Schizosaccharomyces pombe: one gene and its partner. Changing the gene in region 1 together with any one later gene gives a genetic interaction. Each region holds a gene or a part of one and is shown on either strand. Other genes may lie near its edges.

Region 1 (4,449 bases):
TTTATCATTTTTATTCTTTACATTTCGAACCGACACCCATTCATCTTTTGTTAATGGAATTGCTATGCATTTAAGCCTTTTTGGAAAGCAAGGCTTGGTATTTACGATTGACGCTTCAACATTACTTTAGCATTGATTTCTTTATTATCCAAGAATTCATAGTTATTGAATGAATATACATACCTATACATATATCAGTTTTGCAAATCTTCCCCTTTGCGCTTTAAAACTCTCATACTCAAAATATCATTTCATAGTGCACTAAGGGAATTTAAGCCCGTATATTCCGTAACGTTATGTTAAAGTAATAGGGTAGGGTTTTGTGACCTGTTGTGACTGCTCAATTTTACTATAAATGGATGTACAAGAGTTTACCATTCCCCATCTTTGTGCACGGGTATTACGCTTATCAGTGAGGAACTTTTCCTAGATGGCGTTATTGCTAGTTGAAAACTATTACCCTGACCGCTCCAACTCTCGTTAAGAGTTTTGGGAATATTTGGAAACCAACTTATTGCAATAACTCATATGTTTACAATGTATGTCTTTAGCAATTTGGTGGTTTTTTATTTTTTGTAAAATTAATTTTATATGATTTTGTGTATTTTTTATTAATGAAAGCACCAGTGAATTTCTGCTAATAGTAATAATGTGCTTACCGAAATAAGGAGCTAAAAGCATTCAGTAATCTTTTGCTAGGCAGAGATCAAGATAACGTAAATTTTGTTATATAATATGTTACGCTTTCCTTGTTTTATAGACCTGTTAGCCATTAGTAGTGCACAAGTGTTATAAATAGTCATTGTTTATTACTTGTGAATCTGAATCTAAATTACCAAGAGATCAAACCGAAAAATGATTTATTTCATAGCGTAAACTGAAGTGTGAAATGTAAAGTCGGGTATGATAAATATATCTAGCTTTCTGTTGAAGAGAACACATTAAAAGTATTATAATGGATAAAAGAGAGAAATATTTTGAGCAGATGTGGGAAAACATACAAAAACTCAATCGATATTTGTGAAACATTACTATGTATTTTACAGGTAAATAAAAAGATATACAATGAGGGCTTTTTAGGCAACTTCCAAAGCTTGAGCAAAGTCGGCGATAATATCATCGATGTGCTCAATACCGACGGCCACACGAATAAGATCCTTAGTGACACCGGCAGAAATTTGCTCCTCATCAGTTAATTGTAAATGAGTGGTATAGGCAGGAGCGATAACCAAAGTTTTGGCATCACCAACATTGGCCAACTGACTAGCAAGCTTTAAGGCATTGACTACCTTACGACTTTGATCAGGGCCACCTTTAGCGCCAAAGCTGAGAACGGCGCCGTAACCATTTTTCAAGTACTTCTTGGCAAGTTTGTGAGAGACGTGAGATTCAAGACCAGGGTAAGAAACCCAGTTAACCTTGGGGTGCTTTTCCAAATATTTTGCAAGAGCAAATGCATTTTGAACGTGACGCTCCATACGAAGAGAAAGCGTTTCAAGACCTTGAAGAAGCAAAAAGACACCGAATGGATTGGCATTGCCACCAACATCACGGAGAGTTTGAGTACGGCAAGCAAAAGCATATGCCAAGTTACCAAAAGTTTCAGTAAAGACCATGCCATGGTAACCGGGATGAGGCTCGTTGAATTCAGGGAAACGCTTGCTGTTCTTCTTCCAGTCAAACTTACCACTATCAACAATCACACCGCCAATAGTAGTGCCATGACCACCGATCCACTTAGTGGCAGAGTGGGTAACGATATCGGCACCGTGGTCAATGGGACGAACCAAATAACCACCGCCGCCAAAAGTGTTATCGACCATTAAAGGCACACCAGCGGCATGAGCAACCTCAGCGATACGCTCAAAATCGGGAACGTTGTACATGGGATTGCCGATGGACTCAACGTAAACAGCCTTTGTGTTTTCATCAATCTGAGCTGCAAGATCATTAGGATCATCACCATTGACAAACTTGGTAGTAATTCCCAATCTAGGCAGGGTAACCTTGAAGAGGTTGTAAGTACCACCATAAAGGTAAGAAGTGGAGACAATGTTATCACCGGCCTTAGCCAACGTGGTCAAAGCCATGAAGAGAGCGGAAGTACCGGAACTAGTAGCGATTGCAGCAGCGCCATGCTCCAAGGCGGCAATACGTTTCTCAAAAACGTCGGCGGTGGGATTCATCATACGCGAGTAGATGTAACCTGGTTCCTGTAATCCGAACAAGCGGCCGCCATGGTCGCAATCACGGAAAACATAGGAAGTAGTAGCGTAGATGGGAACGGCACGAGAGCTGGTAGCAGCATCAGGCTCTTGGCCAGCATGTAATTGTAAAGTTTCGAAATGTTCACTCTCGACTGGCATGTTGAATGTGAATGATCTTTATTTTGATGATGAGTTTAAAGTGCTAGTAAAAGATATTTAACAGTTTGCAACAAAGATCAATTTCAAAAAACCAAAAGCAGCAATTTAAAAGAGAAAATGACAAAAAAAAAAGGAAAAAAAAAAAAGACGAGTCGAAACTCAAAAAAATTTCAAAAGCTAATACAAGTGAAATGCAAACTGATACACTAGCGCTTATAAATTATTTTTCCTTGCTTTCAAGCTCTTAGCAGTCGAAAAACTAAGTGCCGATACCGCTCATTTTATAGGAAACACAGCGAAGAAGGATTAGGAAATTTCTGCTCGGAATTTCACCATCGCAATAAAATTTGTCGTGCTACTTCCGGCACAATTGTACTTAATCACATCAGATCTCTGTTGCCAATGATTTGCACGAAGACTTGTTTTTTACCTAAAATAGTCAAAACCGAACAAAATTTTTTATTGCAGATCTTTTCATAACGCCGACATGGAGAAGAGGGAAGATCATCCTTCAGGATCGCCCGTGCTGATTGCGAAAGTTAAGGTGCCGTATTAGCTGCAGTATCGTAATTAACGTAGTTTACTGAAACCACTTTTCGTACAATTGTGCTGAGCTGTAAAGTATGGGGAATTACAGTGTCGTGCACTAGAAGAGAATAGCATACAATACTAGCAATGCACTCTACATGCATTCGGATCCAGTAATGCATAGCGATAACAAACAATAGCATATTGCAAAATATCAAATTTAAAACAACTTTTTAACTTCTTTAAAGCTAAATTGCAAACAGTGCGGTATTCTGCGTTTTTGTGTTAAACAATGCATAAAGTAATAAATATACAAAGTTCTGTTCTTCATCTTCTTTGCTAGTAAGTGGTTAGAATTCGCTACAATGAAGATAACCGTGCAATAAACGAAGAAAAATAAAGAAGTGTAAATAAATAAAGCAAGTAATTAAATTGTTTTTTCACGAATAAAAAAATGGAAGCCTACAGCACCCCGGATTCCCATGTTGTCTCCAACCATAGTACTAACGAGGCCCTCAGACGCTTAACTGCAGTGATCGGACGGGAACTGGTGTTTTCGCCTAGGTATGGCCGTAGACAGTTGTTTGAATTAATTGTAAATTTTATAGCTAAATTAAAAAGAAATTGCAGTGACACCAGTTGTAATATGACACATTTCTGTTTGATTCTTCAATGTACAATGGATTGGCTCAATTTCACTTTTTGAAAAACTTTTTTTATTAAAAAATATAATGTTCATTGAGTATAAATAAAATAGAATTCTCGTATAATGAGTGAAAAAATTATTGTAAGATCTGCCCACACCAGGAATCGAACCTGGGTCGCATCGGCCACAACGATGAGTCTTAACCACTGGACCATGTGAGCTAGTTGATTATCATTTAATTTAAATCTTATATATACTGTATTTTAGTACAATTAGATATCTCATTACCAATCATTATAAAAATCATTAATCATCAAAGGCTATTATAATCACAACTTTACGTTGCAACTACTGTATAAAATTTCTACATTTCTTTAAAAAAAAATCCATGTGCTTTAACAATTTCATGGTTACATTCGCTAAAATCACCTTCACTTACGATTGTATATAGTATATAATCAAATATAATTATTATAAATAAGTTAAGTTTAGCAAAGACAACAATCCATGAAAGGAATAATAAATATCCAAATTGCCGAAATCAAATATTTACGGAGACAACTTGGTACAAAAAACCAGGGTATCATTTTCTTCAGCTTAAGCAGCGGTGTATTAGCGTTCAAGATAGACACGTAAATGAATGTAAATTCCGATACACATGAGGACCTTTTAGATATATAATTGTAAATGATAGCTAAATTTCCTTTCCCATTACCAAGGATCGAATTTCTTTCATAACGTCTTTGACAGTGCAAAGTTGTATAAATATAAGAGGGGATATGGAAAATAAATACTGAGCATACCATCATTTCTTCTCAATTATTGGTATGTCATTGAATAACTTAAAAGTAAACTAGGCACAACACAATTTTAACCACTATTGCGATGTCCCAGTTTTCAAAGTAAGCC
Region 2 (4,340 bases), 380 kb from region 1:
TCTGGTGGCAGTCTTTCCACTTATACCTGTGAATTAAGATGTTGTTGGTTGTTCATTAAATCTGCATTGGGAGTCTATTTCGGAATGCGAAAAGATTCTTTTTATGCAGTTTCGGATCTAAAATGGAAAATATAGATAAAACAAGGATGCGCTAAAGATCGTTACACTATTACCTTATTATGATGCAACACTCGAATGCGCTTTTGGATCGCATTCCGCCATGCAACATAGTGGGTTATCTCTTTAATGGATGCCGGAAAGTAAACAAAAAAAAAAGAATCGAAGGAAGAGAGAGGTATGAATAATAGAAGTGCTTTCTCAAACAGTTGTTTTGCAAAAGAAAGAAAGAAAATCTCTGTTTTTTTTTTTGTGGGGAGTGGAAAGTAAAAGGTTATCCTGTTTATCATTTTGCTAATTTTTGTTTTGCGTTTCATTTTGTTTATCGTTTTGATTATTTATTCATTATATTTTTATTTTTATTTTTTCTTTCCGTCTATTTTGATATTAATGGCTAATAACCCTTGTTTATCCTTATTTTCTTTACTTTTCCCGTTAATATAGATTCTTTTTTCTCTCTAGACAAAATAACACACCCGTCTTATAAGGGCTACATATTCAAGTTTGTGTTTTCAGCATGCGAGCTGGGATGCGAATCGGTTTTAATTGTAACATGACTACCTGTATTTATATATTGTAACTGGAGGTAAAATAAACATTAATACTTACGTATGCCATGGCTTGCTTTTGCCAGCCCAGTTCGGTTTTTGTATCCAAAAAGCTCGGTTTTGCCGGGGAAAGGGATGGTACGGAAAGTGTTGCTGATGATGTTAAGCGGGTGAATATTGCTAAAAAGAAGTAATAAATAATAGTGTGTTGAAGTAACTGAAATAAAAAAGGATTGGAGCAGTTAAACTAGCTAAACATTTTCATCTCTTTCTCTAATTCATTTATTCCTTCTTGTGTAAATTTATTATTTATTTTTTGCAACTCTTATATTGCACTAGATTTCATTCGAGTTCGTAAAGTTAGAATTACAAATACACAAAAACGCAAAGGTGTAAGCTACGCAGTTTGGTATCTGATTTAAGGATACGTAGAACTGCGGTGAGTTTTCCTTGTGGTCTATTTATATTACAATACACAGGTTGTATAAGTAGCAACTGAGTATAGGTATTGTATTAACTGGGTTATAATGTTACCTATCACTAATATAGCTCATAACTGAACCTCGTTCCTCAGTTCAGTGGTAGCTCTATTTATAGTATTCAGATAATATAGATCTTAATAGATTATCATCAAGATTAATCTCCATATCGTATCATACATGGTACGATATATAATTAGAACATATGACATATAGTGATACGCAACGTAGTGTATCATAGCGTAGTGTAGTATTGCTGACAAAAGGCAATAAATTACGAGATATAGCGGATAATTTTTTTTCATCTGTGAATTTCGCTATTATAAGTTTTCATTATGAAATCAAAAGATCATGACAACAACACTTGTCATATAACAAACAATTTTTAAAAAATAATAGTTTTATAATATACAAATAAACGCTTTCAATAGTTATTCCGTAAAAAATTTATTGGAAACCTCCAATGTTCTCTTACTTTGCTTTCTTTATACGCAACGACAATCAAGGAGTTACTGAAATGTGATTTTCTTGTTAATAGACTAGAAATCAATCAAACAGCAAGCGTTCAAACGAGTAGCCATTGTGTCGATATAGTCGAACATAGCCGTACAATTTTTAATATTAGTAGGAATAAAATGCTTGAGGAAAAAAATTTGACAACGCAATAGAAAAAAAAAAAAAAATAAAAAAATAAAAAAAAGTAAAAAAATAAAAAAAAGTAAAAAAAAAAAAAATAATAAAAAAAATTAAAAGAGTAAAAATTAATAAACGTAAAAATAAAATAAATAAAAATTAACCAATTAATAAATATTATAAACGTAAAAACCTTTCTCAAATAATAACCCTTATAATACGCTATTCATTCTATGTCCTTTTCACCTCCATCCCCATCTTTGCATTCCTCGTTACAATTACTTAAACACATTTAACAATATCACATCCGTACATCCCATTAAAGACATTGATAAAGAATTTTAACAATGGACGCCTTATCGTACGACTTTCTGTAGTTTTAAATTCTTCATTAAAGTAAAGAATTGCGAATTCCACTATTTGCCGGTGTTTGAATTCCGCGTGACGATCGCGTCATCTTCTTCATAAATATCACCTATCCTACTACAGTGCTCTTTGCCTTCGCCCAAGTGTTTAGAGGAAATTACTGTGATATACAGTAATTCGCAGTTAGTACTACAACATGGCTACTAGCGGTATTCAAACGAAGGTTCCAGGAATCGTTAGCGGATTCATTGGGGCAATTGGTCGTACTCCTTTAATTAGACTGAATACGCTGTCGAACGAGACGGGATGCAATATCCTTGCCAAAGCTGGTATGTTTTTGATATAGGGCGTTGTTTAATGGGTCTCGTTTTGCTAAACAATTTTGAAACGTCGAGGTTTCTCAATTGAATGGCAATCCTATACCTTTATTTCTTTTTAATTGCTTTCATGTATACTAATTGCAAATTTTTTAAGAATTCCAAAATCCCGGAGGAAGCGTCAAGGATAGAGCTGCTTACTACGTGGTACGCGATGCCGAGAAAAAAGGAAAACTCTCTAGAGGTGGCACAATTGTCGAGGGGACTGCCGGTAACACTGGTATTGGTCTTGCTCACATTGCTAGAGCAAGAGGTTATAAATGCGTGATTTACATGCCAAATACCCAATCTCAAGCTAAAATCGATACCCTTAAGTTTTTGGGTGCCGAGGTTCATCCCGTACCTGTTGCTCCCTTTTCCAACCCTCTCAATTATAACCATCAGGCCCGTCGTCACGCTGAGTCTACTCCGAATGCTTCTTGGACTGATCAGTTCGATAACGTCGCTAACTTACTGTCTCACTACGAAACCACTGGTCCTGAAATTTGGGATCAAACCAAAGGTACCGTTGACGGCTTTACCTGCTCTACTGGTACTGGTGGTACTTTTGCCGGCGTTACCAAGTATTTGAAGGAGAAGTCCGACGGTCGTGTTGCTTCTTTCGTGGCTGATCCCCCTGGAAGTGTTTTGTATAGCCATATCAAAACGAAGGGTAAGCATCCTGACAACAAGGGTTCTTCATTTACCGAAGGCATTGGTCAAGGTCGTATTACTGGAAATGTCCAACCTGTTTACGATCTCATTGACGATGCTATGAAAATCCCTGACGAAAAATCTATTAACATGTTCTTTCGTTTGTTAGACCAAGAAGGTCTTTTCTTGGGCGGCTCTTCTTGCTTAAATGTGGTCGCTGCTGTTGAAATGGCTAAAATATTAGGTCCTGGCAAGACGGTGGTTACAATTCTTTGTGATTCTGGTCACAAGTATGCCACTCGTTTATTCAGTCGCTCATTCCTTGAAAGTAAAAAATTATTTGATGTAATTGAGCCACAATACAAGAAGTATATTGTACTTCCTTAATTGTTTTGACCTTTTACTTCGGATAGACATATAATTACTACTACCTTGTGATTTCCGTTTCTTCTTTCTTTGTGCGTTAATTTTTTGGCTATTCCTTTTTTTTTAAAACCACAAGTCACATCTAGAGTATAGAATATAAAGTGTTTGTTATTATATGTAATGAGCATTTTCAATTTAATGCTGAAGTCTAATTATGCTGGAGAATTCTTATAAATAAGGGTATTTAAACATAATAGCTTTTATAGTATTCATGATTCAAATAACACAAAAAAACCGAGTATAATGGATTCAAACACCATGAACATACAAAATTTTATATAGGTCTATACGCGCTCATCCATAATCTCTTCTTTCGCAATGTTCTGCTTTTCGGCATTTTCAAACGTAAAGTCACCGGGAGTTTCTAATGTAAGAGTATTTGTTAGCACATTTTTCGATAACCGCTTATACTTACTATGCATTTGAACGCTAGGTGCAAAAGATAAGTTTCTCAAATTTTCGATGATTTCAGAGCTAAATTTGGTCAGCCTCGTAAGAATAAAACTCAAAAGGTAGCATACGTTATCGAATCAAGATACTGCCGAGTGTTATGGTTTTCCATATTGTTTGAAAGAACATTGAGCTTGTAATCGGGACCGTAATATTGTAAATAGTCATTATAAGGAAGGTCTTGGATGGGTTAATAAACAATTTACGTATTGGTACTTACTTTCATCAAGCTCTTCGCCGGCTAAAAGACCAGTTTCATAAGTCCAGACACGGGCAACATTCCGTACAGTATATCCACCTCCTCCAACGCA

Evidence for each region.
Region 2: of met17 (region 1) and cys11, changing one enhances a phenotype caused by changing the other (phenotypic enhancement), as found in Schizosaccharomyces pombe (one study listed by BioGRID).

What each region holds. Positions count from the first base shown.
Region 1 is NC_003423.3:463,550-467,998, reverse strand, and holds met17 (homocysteine synthase Met17), read right to left. Parts: upstream 2,620-4,449; 5' UTR 2,367-2,619; coding exon 1,077-2,366; 3' UTR 752-1,076; downstream 1-751. Other genes in the region: SPOM_SPBC428.10 (uncharacterized protein), read right to left, coding at 4,438-4,449. UniProt on the Schizosaccharomyces pombe protein: Catalyzes the conversion of O-acetyl-L-homoserine (OAH) into homocysteine in the methionine biosynthesis pathway. Can also use O-succinyl-L-homoserine and L-homoserine as substrates.
Region 2 is NC_003423.3:845,646-849,985, forward strand, and holds cys11 (cysteine synthase), read left to right. Parts: upstream 1-2,274; 5' UTR 2,275-2,339; coding exon 2,340-2,472; intron 2,473-2,617; coding exon 2,618-3,540; 3' UTR 3,541-3,840; downstream 3,841-4,340. Other genes in the region: class 1 histone deacetylase Clr6, read right to left, coding at 3,864-3,943, 3,995-4,053, 4,101-4,209, 4,250-4,340.